Sus scrofa: one gene and its partner. The protein of the gene in region 1 binds, or shares a complex with, the protein of each later gene. Links are inferred from orthologs where the notes say so. Each region holds a gene or a part of one and is shown on either strand. Other genes may lie near its edges.

Region 1 (7,996 bases):
TGAGCTCTCTGCTTTCATTTCAGAGACTCAACTTTCTGTAGGATGTGCTGGCATCCAGCTTCTAAAGGTTCTGAATAGGCTGAAGGGTGGCAGGTGGAAGGAGGAAAGAGTGGAACAGTGTCCCAAGGCTTCCACTTGCCAGCCTCGAGTAAACTGAAGTGAAAAATGCTTGAGTGAGTTCCTGCCGTGGCACAGAGGGTTAAGAATCTGACTGCAGTAGCTCAAGTGGCTGTGGAGGCTCAGGTTCAATCCCTAACCACCCCCACACAGTGAGTTAAAGGATAAAAAAGATGTGGTACATATATACAACAGAATACTACTCAGCCAGAAAAAGAACAAAATAATGCCATTCACAACAACATGAATGCAACCAGAGATTATCATACTAAGTGAAGTTGGAGAAAGACAAATACCATATGATGTCACATGTGTGGAATCTAAAATATGGCACAGATGAACCTATCTACAGAACAGAAACAGACTCACAGACATGGAGAAAAAAGAAAAGACTTGTTGCCAAGGGGGAGGGAGTGGGGGTTTGGGGCTAGGAGATGCTAACTTTTACATTTAGAAAGGATTAACAACCAGGTCCTACTGTATAGCACAGGGAACTATATCCAGTCTCCTGGGATAAACTATGATGGAAAGGAGTATTTATTTTTTTTTAGGGCCGCACCCACAGCATATGGAAGTTCCCAGGCTAGGGGTCCAAACAGAGGTACAGCTGGCGGCCTACACCACAGCCACAGCAAGGAGGGATCTGAGCCACACCTGCAACCTACATCCCAGCTCACAGCAACGCCGGATCCTCAAACAACTGATCGAGACCAGGACTGAACCTGAATTCTCATGGATACTAGTCAGGTTCATTACTGCTGAGCCACAAAGGGCTCGAGACTATTTTTTTAAAGTATTAAATATGTATAACTGAGTCACTATGCTGTACAGAAGAAACTGGCACAACACTGTAAATCAACTATAAAAAAGGTTTTTTTAGAAAGAAACTGTCAGTCTATAATGAATCTAAAACACTTTGAACTAAGTAGCTTGTGTTAACACACCTGAAACCTGATAGATGAATGAGCATGTTGAACCCAAGAATCCAAAGTACACTGAGCACTCTGGAGACATCTCACAATTTCCGACCACTTACAGAAACACTCATTAGCTGTTTTGCTTTGTTACAGGGAAGGGGAAGTATTAAATAGGGCTTCAGCCCACCAACACAGGGTTAATACAGAATTCTTCAGAATATTTGTCTTTCTGCCTTAGTACAATTAATCACACATATGCAGGCAGCAGAAAAAACATGCAAAATAGCTTAACAAGAAGGACAGCTCAAGGTAAGGAGCAGTAACTCCTTCAGTCTCTCATCCTCATTAAAAATGCTTTTAGGGAAGGATCAGGATGGTGGAGGAGTAAGAGGTTGGGCTCGCCTTCTCCCACAAACACATCAAAACAACACCTCTGCATGTAGAATGATTCGCACCAAACATCTACTGAACACCGGCAGAAGAAATTATTAAACCTCCCAAAAGGGCAAGAAACCCTCAACATAATTGGGTAGAACAAAAGAAAACAAGAAGAAAGAGACAGAGTAAAGAATGTTTTTAATTAAATAAATTGTTCTGCACAGGAATCCATTTCTGCCATAATAATCTTATCTCTTAAGAATTTTTGACTAAATAAAGTTATATTTCATTTTTGGTCCTTTTGGAGCCACATCTGCAGCATATGGAAGTTCCCAGGCTATGGGTCGAAGTGGGGCTGCAACTGCCGGCCTACACCACAGCCATAGCAACACCAGATCCAAGCCGCATCTGCAACCTACACCACAGCTTGTGGCAACACTAGATCCTTTAACCCACTGAGTAATGCCAGGAATCGAACCTGCATCCTCATGGATACTAGTCAGGTTCTTAACCCACTGGGCCACAGGAACTCCCATATTCCATTTTTAACAGATCACTGTTACCCAACTCTCGTTTCTATTTGACTTGAGATGTATTGTATGATTTTTGAGAAGGCCCAAGTTTTACTGAGGTGGAACACCAAGTGCAATCTGCCTTTGATGCCAACACATTGCAGGAAGACAACAACCCACAAGCAGGAGTATTTTGGACAGCTAAGGGAATGAAACTCTGATTTTAAATATTGACTTTTCGCTGTTCATAGGGACACAGGGGATAGTAATTTGAAAACTCACAAATTTTCCTTGTCTGTAGAACGCCATCAATTCAAACGAAGTTCTACTGTAATCACACCGAACTAAGGCCCTGTATGATGTTGAAAACATATTTCTATTACCTACATTCAACTAAAAACTGATGTTTTGGACATTAAATAGTCACGTGCCTGGCACACATTAAGGGCACAATAAATGCTGGATTTATCTTTTGTGTACATAGAAATAAAAAATAAATACAAAAACTAGAGCTCCTGTCGTGGCTCAGTGGTTAACGAATCTGACTAGGAACCATGAGGTTGCGGGTTCAACCCCTGGCCATGCTCAGTGGGTTAAGGATCCAGTGTTGCCGTGAGCTGTGGTGTAGGTCGCAGACGCGCTCGGATCCCGAGTTCCTGTGGCTCTGGAGTAGGCAGGTGGCTACGGCTCTGATTCGACCCCTAGCCTGGGAACCTCCATATGCCGCAGGAGCGGCCCTAGAAATGGCAAAAAGACCAAAAACAACGGTGAAATGTGCTTGTTTTTCAGGGAGATCCAATCACAACCTAAATGCTAATACAGATTAATCACATGGCATTCTGTGTTTGTCAATCAATGGCAGTCCTAGAGAAGTACACTTCCTCCAACCGTTCGATGATCTCTGCCCTATACCAAGCTGAGCTGCCAGTCTTGGGAGTTACTGGAGCAAGAACTGCAAGTCAAAACTTGGCTGCAGTGATACCAAGTCACATTACCACCCATCCCGTGCTTAGAGGTCAAAATGCTCTGAACTTCGGCTAGGAATGTCTAAAAGTTGGAGCCATAAATAGCGCTAACCTCTAACCCCATCCTCCCAAACACCACTTTAGCTACTTCTATCCTAAATGAGAGTGTCTCCGCATCTGTGTGCAAGTGGAGGGCCTCCCTCTGGGTTCTGCCTGACGGCTTTTGAATCGACTGCCTAGGAAAAGCTCACCGTTGAGGCAGAGGGGAGGAAAGAGTACCAAGTGTGTTGTTTCTCTGGAACCCAACCCTGCATCAACACTCCACAGAGCCGAGCGCTGGCGTTCAACAAATGTATACCAAATTGGGAACTCAAATAATAACAATATTTAATACTGACGGCACCTACCATGTACCAGGCGCTACCGGAAAGGTTTACATACTTGTCACTCCTTTAAGCCTCACGACAACCCCATGGAGTAAGTACTCTCCATTTCAGAAATGAGGAAATTGAGCACCGGGCTGTTTTAAGAAAAAAAGCAAAACCAAAAAACTCTTGCCCAAGACCACAGGGCTAGTAAAGAGTGAGGCTGGCGTCTGAACGGAGTCAGTCTCCGGATTCCTGGTCAAGAGGAACTAAGGAAAAATTTTAATGAACCGGCCAGGAAGAGGCAGCCAACTCGAGGAAGCCCAAGGCCCCCTTTTCTGTCTACAGTAAAGGAACGGGCACTTTTGCTTCTTTTGGGGGGCGGGGGGCGGGCATTTTGGGGCCGCATCAACAAGCCCGGCACGGGGAACCACTGCTGACCTCCACGTGGACCTTGTAAAGCTCCCCCTCCAACAGGCGGCGCCGCTTGGCCGAGTCGCCGCTCCGCTCGCGGCCAGGAGTGCAGCACACAACGTGGAAGCAGAACAAAGGCCTGCGGCTCCCCGAAGACCGCTGCGCCCGGCCCGACCCGCCCGCCTAGCCCGCTTGCCCTGCCCTTTGGCGTCCTCCGGCGTCGGGCCCCGCCTCGGTCCCGCTCTTTCCCTGCCACGGGCCGCTCAGGCCGACTCACCGGCTTCTGGGCGACGCCCGACAACACGCGGGAGACGGCGGCGAGCATCTTCCTCATGGAGTGCGGGCAGTGGCAGCAGCGGCGACTCCCAACCGCTCAAGCAGCGAGGCCCAGAAGTCTCCAAGTCTCCTTCAGGCGCCCGGGGAGGACGCTAAGACCTAACGGCGGCGCTACGGAACGCGACGCGACGCGACGCGACGGAAGACGTCATGCGCCGCACCGGGCCACGGGCCAACCAGGATTGCTCTCAGGGCGTGCCCCGCCCACCCGAGAGGCCCACGGCCGCCCATTGGGTGTCGGAGCCAGAGAGCTGGGCTGAGGGCTGCCTCCGTCACCACACGGGTGAGGGGCGGGAGACCTGAGGACGCCTGCGTGGGAAAGCGAGGCCACGCCTCCAGGGCCACTCGGGAATGGACCCTGTTAGATTGGGCGCCACAGCTGAGCCGTGCTCCTCTGGAGATCGTTCAAGGGCAATACTACCCAGCGACTAGTCTTGCCAGTACTGCACCTTTGCAGCCTCTGCTCAATACACTGGATGATAAAGATTAATAGCCTGATGGGGCCAAAGGACAGAACATATGGTTTTTATAAATGGTTCTGCTGCCAACTTGTCTCTAAGAAGTTACATAACAGTTGTAAAAGGCTTCCCTGCCTACTTGAGCTAGGATCTGATGAAATAAAATTATTATTTTAAAGCAAGGCAAGAATTTTTTCTTTTTCTTTTTTTTTTTGTCTTTTTAGGTCCACACCTGTGGCATATGGAGGTTCCCAGGCTAGGGGTCGAATTGGAGCTGCAGCTGCCGGCCTACGTCACAGCCACAGCGAAGGGACCCAAACCACATCTGCAACCTACACTACAGCTCATGACAATGCGGAATCCTTAACCCACTGACTGAGGCCTGGGATCAAACCCGTGTCCTCACGGATACTACTCGGATTCGTTCTTGCTGAGCCATGACCGGGCCTCCAAGACAAGAAATATTTAAACAAAAATGTTTTCTCTGTCTGTTTGGGCCTTCTCCACACACACCCCCCCTTTCTGGTGTGCATTGTTCATCTACATTATTCATTAAGCTCACCTCCCCAATGGCAGAAATACCTCCTCAGCCATAAAGCTCAATTTTTCTTCTTCTAGAGCCAGCCATGTAACTCCTTTGAAGATAACATTCCTTGCTCAATCCTGTAAATCGTCGTGATTGCCCTCCACTCACCTCGTATGTGCAGACATCTTTGGTGAACTTTATGCACAAATGCCAATGTATCATTTCCCTTAAAGATAGCGACTGGTACAGAACAGACTGAGTCACAAGACCTAGGGAGATACAGGGCTGCAATGAATGGAATTTCTTCGCTTAAATACTTACGACCTTATTAATGTCTCTAGCTATACTCCTTGTATCCTGCCTGTTTTACAAGACTACTGTTTCTTGCATTACCAAATGGGCAACTGAGCCTCTGATAAAAGTAAGATGACTAGCTGACTTGGAACGAAGGACCAAAGATACATATAATTCTACCAGATCAATGTTGGTCATAGTGTAACCCTAGATATGGAAAGAAGCAACAAGAAGGAACCATTTCCTGGATCCTAACAGACTGGTATGACAGGTGGTCCTGAGGCTTTGGGCTACTGTTAGCAGGGCTTAGTCCCATAAGAGCACATGGAGGGTCCTAGCAAGGAAATCCTCCCCTGACCTGGGAATGAGCATTTCTAGTGGTGTGGGCCAAGTGGGTCATGAAATGCTTCCCAAATCTTCGTCAAAAATAAGATCAAAATGGGGGGGGGTTGTAAAACAAAAAATGTTGCCCAGCATGCAGTTCTACAAGAATCAAGTCATTAGCCACTGCAGTCACTGACCTAAAATACACCTGAAGAGGATTTCAGGATTAAGATCAGGGTGAAGCATTTTGTGCTCTGGGAAAACTGGCAGAACTAGCCCTCGGACAGATATTTTCAGGAGAAAATTTGATGAATCCAGTTTCTTGCATTTTCCCATACTTGGAAAAGCAGTAAAACCATTAACTAAGATATGTGTCCCCTTGTGAATAGCAGTAACCTTATACCAAGATAGGTGCTTGACTGCACATCCGCTCTCTCGAAAATCACACTGCACTGGCCTTCCTCTCCCTTTACCTTTTGAGAACAGTGCTCACAGCTCTGAGAGGATGTCTCCCAGGTTTTGAGCCTCAGGTTGGCTCAAATAAAAATTTGCCGTATCTTTATTTTTATTTATTTATTTATTGCTTTTTAGGGCCACACCTGCAGCATATGGAGGTTCCCAGGCTAGGGGTTGAATCGGAGCTACAGCTGCTGGCCTACGCCACAGCCAGAGCAACGTGGGATCCGAGCTGTGTCTGCAACCTACACCACGGCTCACGGCAACGCCAGATCTTTAACCCACTGAGCGAGGCCAGGAACTGAACCCTCAACCTCATGGTTCCTAGTCGGATTCGTTTCTGCTGCGCCACGACGGGAACTCCTTCCATATCTTTCTTAGGTTGACCGTTGATTAATGTTTTCATCCTTATAAAATAAGTCATGGAGACATAATGACAGCATATTTGGTTTTTTTTGTTTTTTTTTAAATCTTTTTTTTTTTTTTTTGTCTTTTTGCTATTTCTTGGGCCGCTCCCGCAGCATATGGAGGTTCCCAGGCCAGGGGTTGAATCGGAGCTGTAGCCACCAGCCTACACCAGAGCCACAGCAACGCGGGATCCGAGCCACGTCTGCAACCTACACCACAGCTCACGGCAATGCCAGATCCTTAACTCCCTGAGCGAGGCCAGGGACGGAATCCGCAACCTCATGGTTCCTAGTCGGATTCGTTAACCACTGCACCATGACGGGAACTCCACGCTACTGCTTCTGACCTATTTTGTGTGGCCTGACCAGAGCAGGGGGCAAAGCTTTCCTTCCACCCGAGGTTGCAATCACCCTGGGCTGGCTTTCACTAGACCACAGATTGCATCACATCGCACGTTCTTCTAAGTTTGGCCTTATTCTTCCAGCATGCAGATCACGGTTGAGGAGCGTGGCCTGAAATGACTGTGGCTGATCCCCCAACAGAAGCAGCCTTGGGAAACCTAAGAACCGGCTCGTAGACGGGGAGCACAGTGTCTGGACTCTGGAATCCGTCCATCTGGTCTCTAATCCTCTTGGCTCGACCACTGACTAGCTGTGTGACCTGGGGCAAGTTGCCTAACCTCTCAGTGCCTGGCCTGCCACATCGTTAAAAGAAGTGGAATCACAATATTCATCTCATCAGGCTGTTATACAGCTTATACGGGTTAATATTTGTCAAGTACGCAGAACAGTACCTGACCCACAACAAGCCCTCTTCTAGAATTCGCTTCATGTGCAAATCTTTGAACCACTTGGTGCCTCGCTCTTCTCATTAGTAAAGCAACTTTCAGAAACTTCCGTCTTCTAGATGCTCTTGGAGAATGAGTCAGTTGGGGGAGTTCCCTTCGTGGCTCAGGGGTGAACGAATCCGACTAGGAACCATGCGGTTGCGGATTCCATCCCTGGCCTCGCTCAGCGAGTTAAGGATCTGGCATTGCCTTGAGCTGTGGTGTAGGTCGCAGACGCGGCTCAGATCTGGGGTTGCTGTGGCTGTGGTGTAGGCCTTCGGCTACAGCTCCCATTAGACCCCTAGCCTGGGAACCTCCATGTGTGGCAGGAGTGGCCCTAGAAAAGGCAAAAAGACAAAAAAAAAAGAGAGAGAGAGAGAATGAGTCAGTTGGGTCCTTGGTAGATTTAAGGGGTGACTGCTATGTGTACAGTTAACTACTATGTGGGGGCCACCAACGAGTGTTACTACATAACCAGAAAGAACCTCGGCCAGTGCAGTACTTAGCCAAAGGTCATTAATAAAACAACCTGGCCAAACAAAGGCAGATGCCCAGTGCTCAGTGGCCTTTGAACTTGTCCTGCAACTTGAGGCGTCTCTCTGTGTCAAGTTCTCCTCTCACAAAGATCTGCCAGGCCTCGCCAACTGTCTGCACAATGGGCTTAGCCATCAATAAAATCTGCCAGTCTTAAGAAACTGCC
Region 2 (7,900 bases), on another chromosome or scaffold:
TCAAGTCATTTGACCACCTCTGACTTTTGATCTTTTTGTCCTTTAACACAATGTTTATTACAGCTTGACTATCCTGGAATCAGTTTCTCTGAAATACCTTCCATGATCCTGGCACAAATTTCAGCTCCTATTCCAAACTGTGGCCAGCCTCCTTCCACAGTTATGAGATGAGTGGTCTTCATGACACTGGCTTCTATTGTTTCAATGTCCATTGGTCTGATGGTTCGCATATTTATCACCTAAGTAGATAATGTAACAAATGAGCTTTATGGAGCCACTGCCTCACAAAGAGTTTTATCCCCATAATACCACTTCTTTTTTCCCTGTTAATCTGTGGCCCTACGGAAAACGAATCTGCCTATTCGTGAACAAAACGTCAATGGGAAAACTGTCACTAAAACAAAAATCTTTATCTGTATTACAAGCAGCTCTGTTAACTTACAGAACTCACTTATCCTCCCTTGGCCTTAACGTCCTCCTCACCAAAATCATACATGTGTCTGCTTACCATGTACCAGGCACTACATCAAGTATAGTTCTCACAACCATCCTGATGGGAAAGTAAATGTATTATCCTCATCTTAAAGCTGATGGTACTGAGATTTAATTATTTACTTTTAGGGGGAGGCACGCCTGCAGCATGCAGAAGTTCCCAGGCCAGGGACTGAACCTGTGCCATAGCAGTGACAATGCTGGATTCTTAACCAGCTGAGCCACCAGGGAACTGTGACACTGGGGTTTTGAGTATGTATCTTGCGCAAATGTAACTAGCAAGTGGTACTTCCTGGATATGAAAGGGTCAGACTCAGTGTTTTCTGAGTTTTCTCTTCTCCCAACCAATAGCTAAGGTTGGATCTTAACTTGACACAAAGCAGATACTAAATAAAAAGATCCAGAACCTAGGTGGTAAAAAGCTAGGTATTTGAAAAGTAGGTTCTTAGCTTTAAGCAGAGGCAGAACTAAGCGACAAAGCAAGATTTTATATCTATATATCTAATTAACCTGTAACAGAACTCAAACTCCTTTTTCTGGATCTTAAATTGAAAGGAACCCTTCCAATTCTTTAAGAACACTCACCTCACATTGTTTTTTATTATATATTTTTTTTTTTTTTTGTATTTTTGCTCCGGAGGCATATGGAGGTTCCCAGGCTAGAAGTCTAATTGGAGCTGTAGCTGCCAGCCTACATCACAGCCACAGCAACGCTAGATCTGAGCCACGTCTGTGACCTACACCACAGCTCACGGCAACGCTGGATCCTTAACTCACTGAACAAGACCAGGGATCAAACCTACAACCTCGTGGTTCCTAGTCAGATTCGTTAACCACTGGGCCACGATGGCAGCTCCCAAGAATGAATACTTTATAGGCAACCGGTGTGTTTACTTTATCACCTTCGTATCCATCCCACATGTAACTCACCTCACATTCAATTCCTTCTTTAGATAGCACTGTGGCAGCTTCTAAGCAGTGGCCCACAGGTCTTGAATGGGAAACTATCGTTATGTGTGTCCCTGAAACAAAGCAGTTACAGATGAAAAGTCAGGTTGAAACTAAAGACACAGTCCTGCTTTGTAGCCAGCTATGGCTATTGTTCATTTATAAGATATTAAACTCCACTTTACTCCAGTGAGATAAGGAATGTTGCAGCCTTAGAAATGAAATACAAATCCACTGGACTGAGATCTAGAAGAGCACAAATGTATTCCCAATCAAGGCATGACACATTCTTAACTTGAACTCATGCTAAAACTTCCCAAAGTAAAAAAGCAGTAACTTTGGACTGAATTTGACCAATATAAATAGAGGAGACAGATAACAAGTAATGTTTAAATGTATACTAAGTTCTTATTCTCACCTTGCCTTTCTATTTTGGCTTTTCCAATAGGAATCAGAAAATCTTTTGACTGAGCTTCTGCAGGAAGTTCAAAAGGAACTCCATACATTAATTCATTCTCCAGCACCACCACTGCAAAATAGAAATATTTAAACAAAACTGCATGACCAAATACAACACTGTCATTCACATTCTGTGAGAAGTTTAAATGTGCCCTGTGCCTATCACCTCCTGGGGATGGTTTAGGTACTGACATCTGCAGACTGGTCAATCCTACCTATGGGGATAAACCAATGTTGTAAGCATGCAGTATATTTCTCCTTTACCTAACTGGCCCCTTGTAAGTCAGAAATAAGAAAAACAACACATTTTCCCCCATCTTTACTTTGCCTGTAAATCATTAACATTTCATATGATACGTCTAAGCCTAAGTAGAAGTTTTCAATGGTGCCTACTATGCAGATATTTCATTTTAGTTCTTTAATGTTCAAAAGTGACCCACGGGTCACTCTACTGACCTGGATTGTTATCCCGAATGGCTGATTTAATAAGTCCTTTCGCATCTTCTGAGCTCCAGGGGCTGACCACCTTTAAGCCTGGGCAGTGCCCATACCAGGCAGCAAAGCACTGTGAGTGCTGGGCTGCTACACCTGCTGAGGCACCATTGGGCCCCCTGAAGACTATGGGCACAGACTGAAGGCCCCCCGACATGTAATAGGTCTTGGCAGCTGAGTTTATAACCTGGTCAATGGCTTGCATAGAGAAATTGAAGGTCATAAATTCGCAAATGGGCCTCAACCCAGCCTGTCAAATCAAAAACATGATTGTTAAAAAGACAAGAAACAAGAGTAGCAACCACTTTATTCCTCCAACATTCAAATAATGTTTTTAAAAGGTCACGTTAAAAGAAATCTCTTTGGGAATTCCCATAGTGGCTCAGTGGTTAACGAATCCAACTAGGACGATGAGGTTGCAGGTTCAATCCCTTCCCTTGCTCAGTGGGTTAACGATCCGGCGTTGCCGTGAGCTGTGGTGTAGGTCGCAGACTCGGCTCGGATCCCGCATTGCTGTGGCTCTGGCGTAGGCCGGTGGCTACAGCTCCGATTAGACCCCTAGCCTGGGAACCTCCATATGCTGCAGGAACAGCCCTAGAAATGGCAAAAAGACAAAAAAATAAATAAAAATAAAAAAAGAAATCTCTTTGGATGAGATTCATAAAGAGGACAACATACCATAGCCGCACCTACAGCAATTCCAGCAAAGCCCATCTATAAAGTGAAACACAAACATAAGTAAAAATCCACAAAAATTATTAGAGTGTACACTTTAATAGACATGCCTCCTCAAAGGCCTGCTTCCTGATGAAAGGCTTACCTCAGATATGGGAGTGTCTATGATCCTCTTATCTCCATACTTCTTCCACAGGCCTCGACTAACCTACAATTAAGCAACGACCCCATTACTTTTGAGTGTCCTGGGGGCAAACGGCCACCTCAATTCTGTATAGCTTTCATGTATCTTGGTTACCTTATATGCCCCATCATACTGAGCAACTTCTTCCCCAAGGAGAAATACCTTCTCATCTCTTTCCAGCTCCTCATCCATACCTTGATTTATAGCGTCACGAACTGTTACCTGTCACAGGTATGGGAAAGCAGTCAATGAGCTACAGGATTACTTAGGATACCATTGAGATTCTCTCCCTTTACCTAGGCTGCCCACAGCATACAATATAAAAACTATCACTAGAACAGGCTTCTCTTTAAAAGTTCAAAGAATCCTATCTAAAAAGACAAAAAAAAAGTTCAAAGAATTCTAAAAGTAACATTTCTATCACTCACAGCCAGTCTTTGATAGGATGTGTAAATGAGAAATACATTAAACACTTTTCTTGACATGCACCTAGGCTTAAGAAATCTGCTTGCAGGCAGTGCTTCTTTGCCCGTCTACTTGTACCTCTCACAAGCATCCTATCTTAATAAATCTATTTCTTACCTATAAAAAAAAAAATCTGCTTGTTGGCCAGATAAGCTCATAGATGGATTGATTACTACGTACAAAGTAGACTTACGGCATTCCCATTGTTGTTCAGTGGATTAAGAACCCGACATGGTGTCCATGAGGATATGGGTTCCATCCCTGGCCTTGCTCAGTAGGTTAAGGATCTGGCATTGCAACAAGCTGCAGTGTAGGTCACAGATGCAGCTAGAATCCAGTGCTGCTGTGGCTGTGGCACAGGCCTGCAGCTGCAGCTCTGATTGGACCCCTAGCCTAGGAACTTCCATATGCTGCAGCTGCAGCTATAAAAACAAAGAAAAAAAGTATACTAGGTAGTTTTATTTCCACATGTAGTATATTGTAGAGGCAGAGAACGTCAAGTAAGCTTAAATTATACTACATATTGAGCACTCACTAAGTGCCTGGTACTGCCAAACGTGTTGCCTTCAGCATCTAAGAGTTATTTTATCACACAGGTTGGTAGAATTTTCTAGTAACATAAAAAGGATAGAGAAGGAAATTCCTCAAAAGTTGAACACAGAATTATCATATGATCCAACAATTCCACTTCTAGCTATACTCAAAAGAACTGAAACCAGGGGCTCAGATACTTGCACACCAATGTTCACAGCAGCACTGTTCACAAATCCAACAGGTGGAAACAACCCAAAGGTCCATTAAAGATGAATGGATAAACAAAATGTATATGCCCACAACGGAATATTAACCTTAAAAAGGATGGAAATTCTGACATTCTACAACATGGATGAACCTTAAAAACATGGTGAAATAAACCAGAAAAAGGACAAATAAACCAGATAAAGGACAAATCTTTATTTACCACTTACAGGAGGTAGTGAGAATAGATACTCATATACACAGAAGGTACAAAAGAGGTTACCAGGGGCTAAGAGGAAATAAGGAGTTATTGTTTAATGGGTACAGTTTGTTTGGGATGATAAAATTCTGGTAGTGAACGGACAATATGGTGAATTACTTAGTGCCGCTGAACATACAGTTTAAATGGGAAATTTTGTATTTTACTACAAAAGTACATTTTAAAGGGGGTGAGAGAAGAAGTATGGAGTCTAATTAGATCGGCCATCTGATTTCAATGAGCCTTGCGCGGCTGACATGCCACCCCAGCCTCTGCCCCAGGACGAGGGACCCCTCCCTGTCTGGTTAGCGTCTGGGCCAATTACCTGCAGCGCCGCCGGCGCCGTGCGGTGGAAGCGCCTCCTCAGCAGCAGCCCGGAGACCTTGCGGGGAGAAAAAGGACGCTTAGAGGGGACGCAGGATGGCAGGGATCGCGCAGGATCCTGGGGCCAGTGAGCCGCTGCCTACCTGCTCCAGGGGCCTCCGCACCAGCCCAGCCACTACCGCCATTTTGAATGTGTCCTCTAGTCGCCAAGAAATGACAACACCGCGGGGCTGCAGAAGAGTCAAGCCCGCTCTTCCCCGCCGGTGCCGGCCAATGGCAGGGCACGGCGCCTGCGTGCCCCGCCCCCTATGGCGTCAGGGTCGAGGGGCGGGGCCGAGGAGGCGCGAGGGTGGTCCGTCAGCTTGGCTTGATGCCCACTCGGATCAAGTTTGCTGAAGGTGGGCGGTTCCTGGCACGCACAGTGCACGCCGAGAGCACGTCCCTGCTTGTTGGAGCGCAGTGACCCCAAGTCATACTCAAAGGTCTAACTCGAGGCTGAGGAATGTGTCAGGCCAGGCTTCCGCAGGCACTGAAATCCTTTGGGCACCAAGCCAAACTGGTGACTGGAAATTTACAATCTTACAAGCGAGCCTACTCCTTCTTGGACAGCACCGTCTATTGATTTCTTACAGTGTGAACCAAAGCTTTCACGTGTGCCAGGCGTTGTGTTGTGCTTTATGGCTTATTTCTCACAAGAACCCGCTCAGGTAATTAATAGCATTAGCTCCATTTCGCAGATGGTTAAACTGAAGCAGGGATTGGTTAAATCAGTCAGGGTTTGAATTTAGGACTGCCTGACTCTAAAGGGTAGTCTTTTATTACTGCTTCCTGAAGCAGAAGTTGGGGTCTGCGTTACAACAACCTGCATTTAGAGAGGGTTTTTGTTTTGTTTTGTTTTGGGTTTTTTTGCCATTTCTTGGGCCGCTCCCAGGACATATGGAGGTTCCCAGGCTAGGGGTCCAATCAGAGCTGTAGCCGCCAGCCGACACCAGAGCCACAGCAACACAGGATCCGAGCTGCGTCTGCAACCTACCTACAGCTCCCGGCAACGCCAGACCCTTAACCCACTGAGCAAGGCCAGGGATCGAACCTGCAACATCATGGTTCCTAGTCGGATTCGTTAACCACTGAGCCACGACGGGAACTCCCTAGAGGGTTTTATAGGGTCAAATACCTGATTAGGGAAGCCTTTGGAAGCTTCCTCTCATTGGTCTCTTTTTGACCCTGCATGCAGTGGTGGGGATAGGGGTGGGCGGTGGTCAGATAGGACCTCTGGGGACTCTGTCAGTCCTTACTCATGCCCAGGACATTCCAAAAACTCTTCTGAGGGCTGCAGGCTGCCAGTCTGGGTTTAATCTCAGGGCTCTCAGAAGCCAGCGCAGCAGGGAAGTGACCAGGTGAGGAGGAGTCTGGTTGCTGAGTGAGAAAGAGAGGAGGGGGATTCAAGCAAAAGCAGGGAGACCTGAGAGTCTTTGGCAGAGGGAGCACTGGACTCTGGAGGGTTGAGGTGAAGAGGAGAGAATAGGTTTGAGATCTGTTTAGGACCAGAATCAATAAGGTTGCCTTGAGGCAAGGGGAAAAAATGAGGAAGATTTGGGGAGTTTGTTGCTGTTGAATGGATGGGGGAGGGGAGGAGATGGGGAGCAGGTGGGAGGTAAGAATTCATTCTGAATACGCTGTATTTAGGTTAGTGGGTCAGACCAGGTTGGATATAGGAGCCTGGAGCTAGAGGCTGGAGCTAGGTAGCAGCAGAGATAGAAATTTGGGTGCAGCTGCATACAGATGGGCTTTCATCTCTGGGCCTCTGATTTGTCATCTGTAAAGTGGAGAGATTGTCTCTCAAGTATGCAGTGAGGACCTTCCAAGTCTCCCTCAGCACTGTCCCCTAGTCCCTTCAATCTGTGGACTGCAGTAAAGGTGCACAATGTGAGAGCTGTGAGTTTCAGTTTTATTTGAGGACTTACTGAGGATTGCGCCCCAGGGGACTGCCTCTCAGATGGCTCTGAGGAACTGCTGTGAAGAGGTAAGCACATACCTCATTTGGGAGATGGGTATGCAGTCAAGTACACATTTTGATGGAAGGTGCCTGATAGTCAGGAGACACGTATTTTAGTTAAGGATTTTAGTGCTTGTCTAAGTATGGTAACGTGCAAGAAATTGGGTTCATATCTTTTTGGCCTAAAAATATGTAACTGCCTAAAGGCCTGTTCTGCCAATTTTCTCAGAGCACAGAGTGTCTGATTCCTGATCTCCGTCCTGAAGTCCTTTCAGGGTGTGTTGATGATAAGTGACTCAGTCCTTGTAGAGCCCAATGGCAAGAGACATTCTTTAGTTGGTAAAGACTTGGCGAAAACCCCAGCACTTCCCACTCACAGCAAACCCTGGGAAGCCCCTGTTTTTGAGATATCAGCCCTCGGGGATTCCTGTGTTCTGCTTAGAATGAAAATGTGCATCAGCTCTCCCTCCTCTCCCACCATCCAGCACTGAAAGATTTCAAGGTTAAAATTACAAAGCAACAGGAGTTCCCATCTTGGCCCAGCAGTAACAAACCCAACTAGCATCCATGAGGATGCGATTTCAATCCCTGGTCTCACTCGGTGGGTTAAGGATCCGGCGTTGCTGTGAGTTGTGGTGTGGATTGTAGATGAGGCTCAGATCTGACGTGGCTGTGGCTCTGGCGTAGGCCAGCAGCTGCAGCTCCAATTCAACCCCTAGCCTGGGAACTTCCATATGCTGCAGGTGTGGCCCTAGAAAAAGCAAAAATAAGTAAATAAATAAAGTTACAAAGCAACAGGAGACATAAAGGTAAAGCAACAGTGAATCACCTGAAGAGAAGCCAGACTCTGGCCAGTGGTCTAGACAAA

The links.
Region 2: the proteins of PDHA1 (region 1) and PDHB are in contact, whole or in part, in a crystal structure (PDB 3EXE), measured with the Homo sapiens proteins. The link is inferred for Sus scrofa from reciprocal best matches to the Homo sapiens genes PDHA1 and PDHB. Residues at the interface, in NP_000275.1 of Homo sapiens: Ile87, Arg88, Gly89, Phe90, Glu137, Leu138, Thr139, Gly140, Gly148, Lys149, Gly150, Gly151, Met153, His154, Asn164, Gly165, Ile166, Val167, Gly197, Ala198, Asn200, Gln201, Gln203, Gly228, Met229, Gly230, Thr231, Arg235, Ala236, Asp296; in NP_000916.2 of Homo sapiens: Glu59, Gln62, Tyr63, Ala66, Asp84, Pro86, Ile87, Ser88, Glu89, Met111, Phe115, Gln118, Ala152, Gly153, Val154, Ala155, Ala156, Gln157, His158, Pro297, Val323, Arg324, Val325, Thr326, Gly327, Ala328, Asp329, Val330, Met332, Pro333.

What each region holds. Positions count from the first base shown.
Region 1 is NC_010461.5:15,696,212-15,704,207, reverse strand, and holds the start of PDHA1 (pyruvate dehydrogenase E1 component subunit alpha, somatic form, mitochondrial), read right to left. Parts: upstream 4,285-7,996; 5' UTR 4,003-4,284; coding exon 3,946-4,002; intron 1-3,945. UniProt on the Homo sapiens protein: The pyruvate dehydrogenase complex catalyzes the overall conversion of pyruvate to acetyl-CoA and CO(2), and thereby links the glycolytic pathway to the tricarboxylic cycle.
Region 2 is NC_010455.5:40,162,224-40,170,123, forward strand, and holds the start of PDHB (pyruvate dehydrogenase E1 component subunit beta, mitochondrial), read right to left. Parts: upstream 5,280-7,900; 5' UTR 5,222-5,279; coding exon 5,180-5,221; intron 5,095-5,179; coding exon 5,038-5,094; intron 3,473-5,037; coding exon 3,365-3,472; intron 3,275-3,364; coding exon 3,212-3,274; intron 3,106-3,211; coding exon 3,070-3,105; intron 2,642-3,069; coding exon 2,356-2,641; intron 1,970-2,355; coding exon 1,859-1,969; intron 1,515-1,858; coding exon 1,423-1,514; intron 240-1,422; coding exon 98-239; intron 1-97. UniProt on the Homo sapiens protein: The pyruvate dehydrogenase complex catalyzes the overall conversion of pyruvate to acetyl-CoA and CO(2), and thereby links the glycolytic pathway to the tricarboxylic cycle.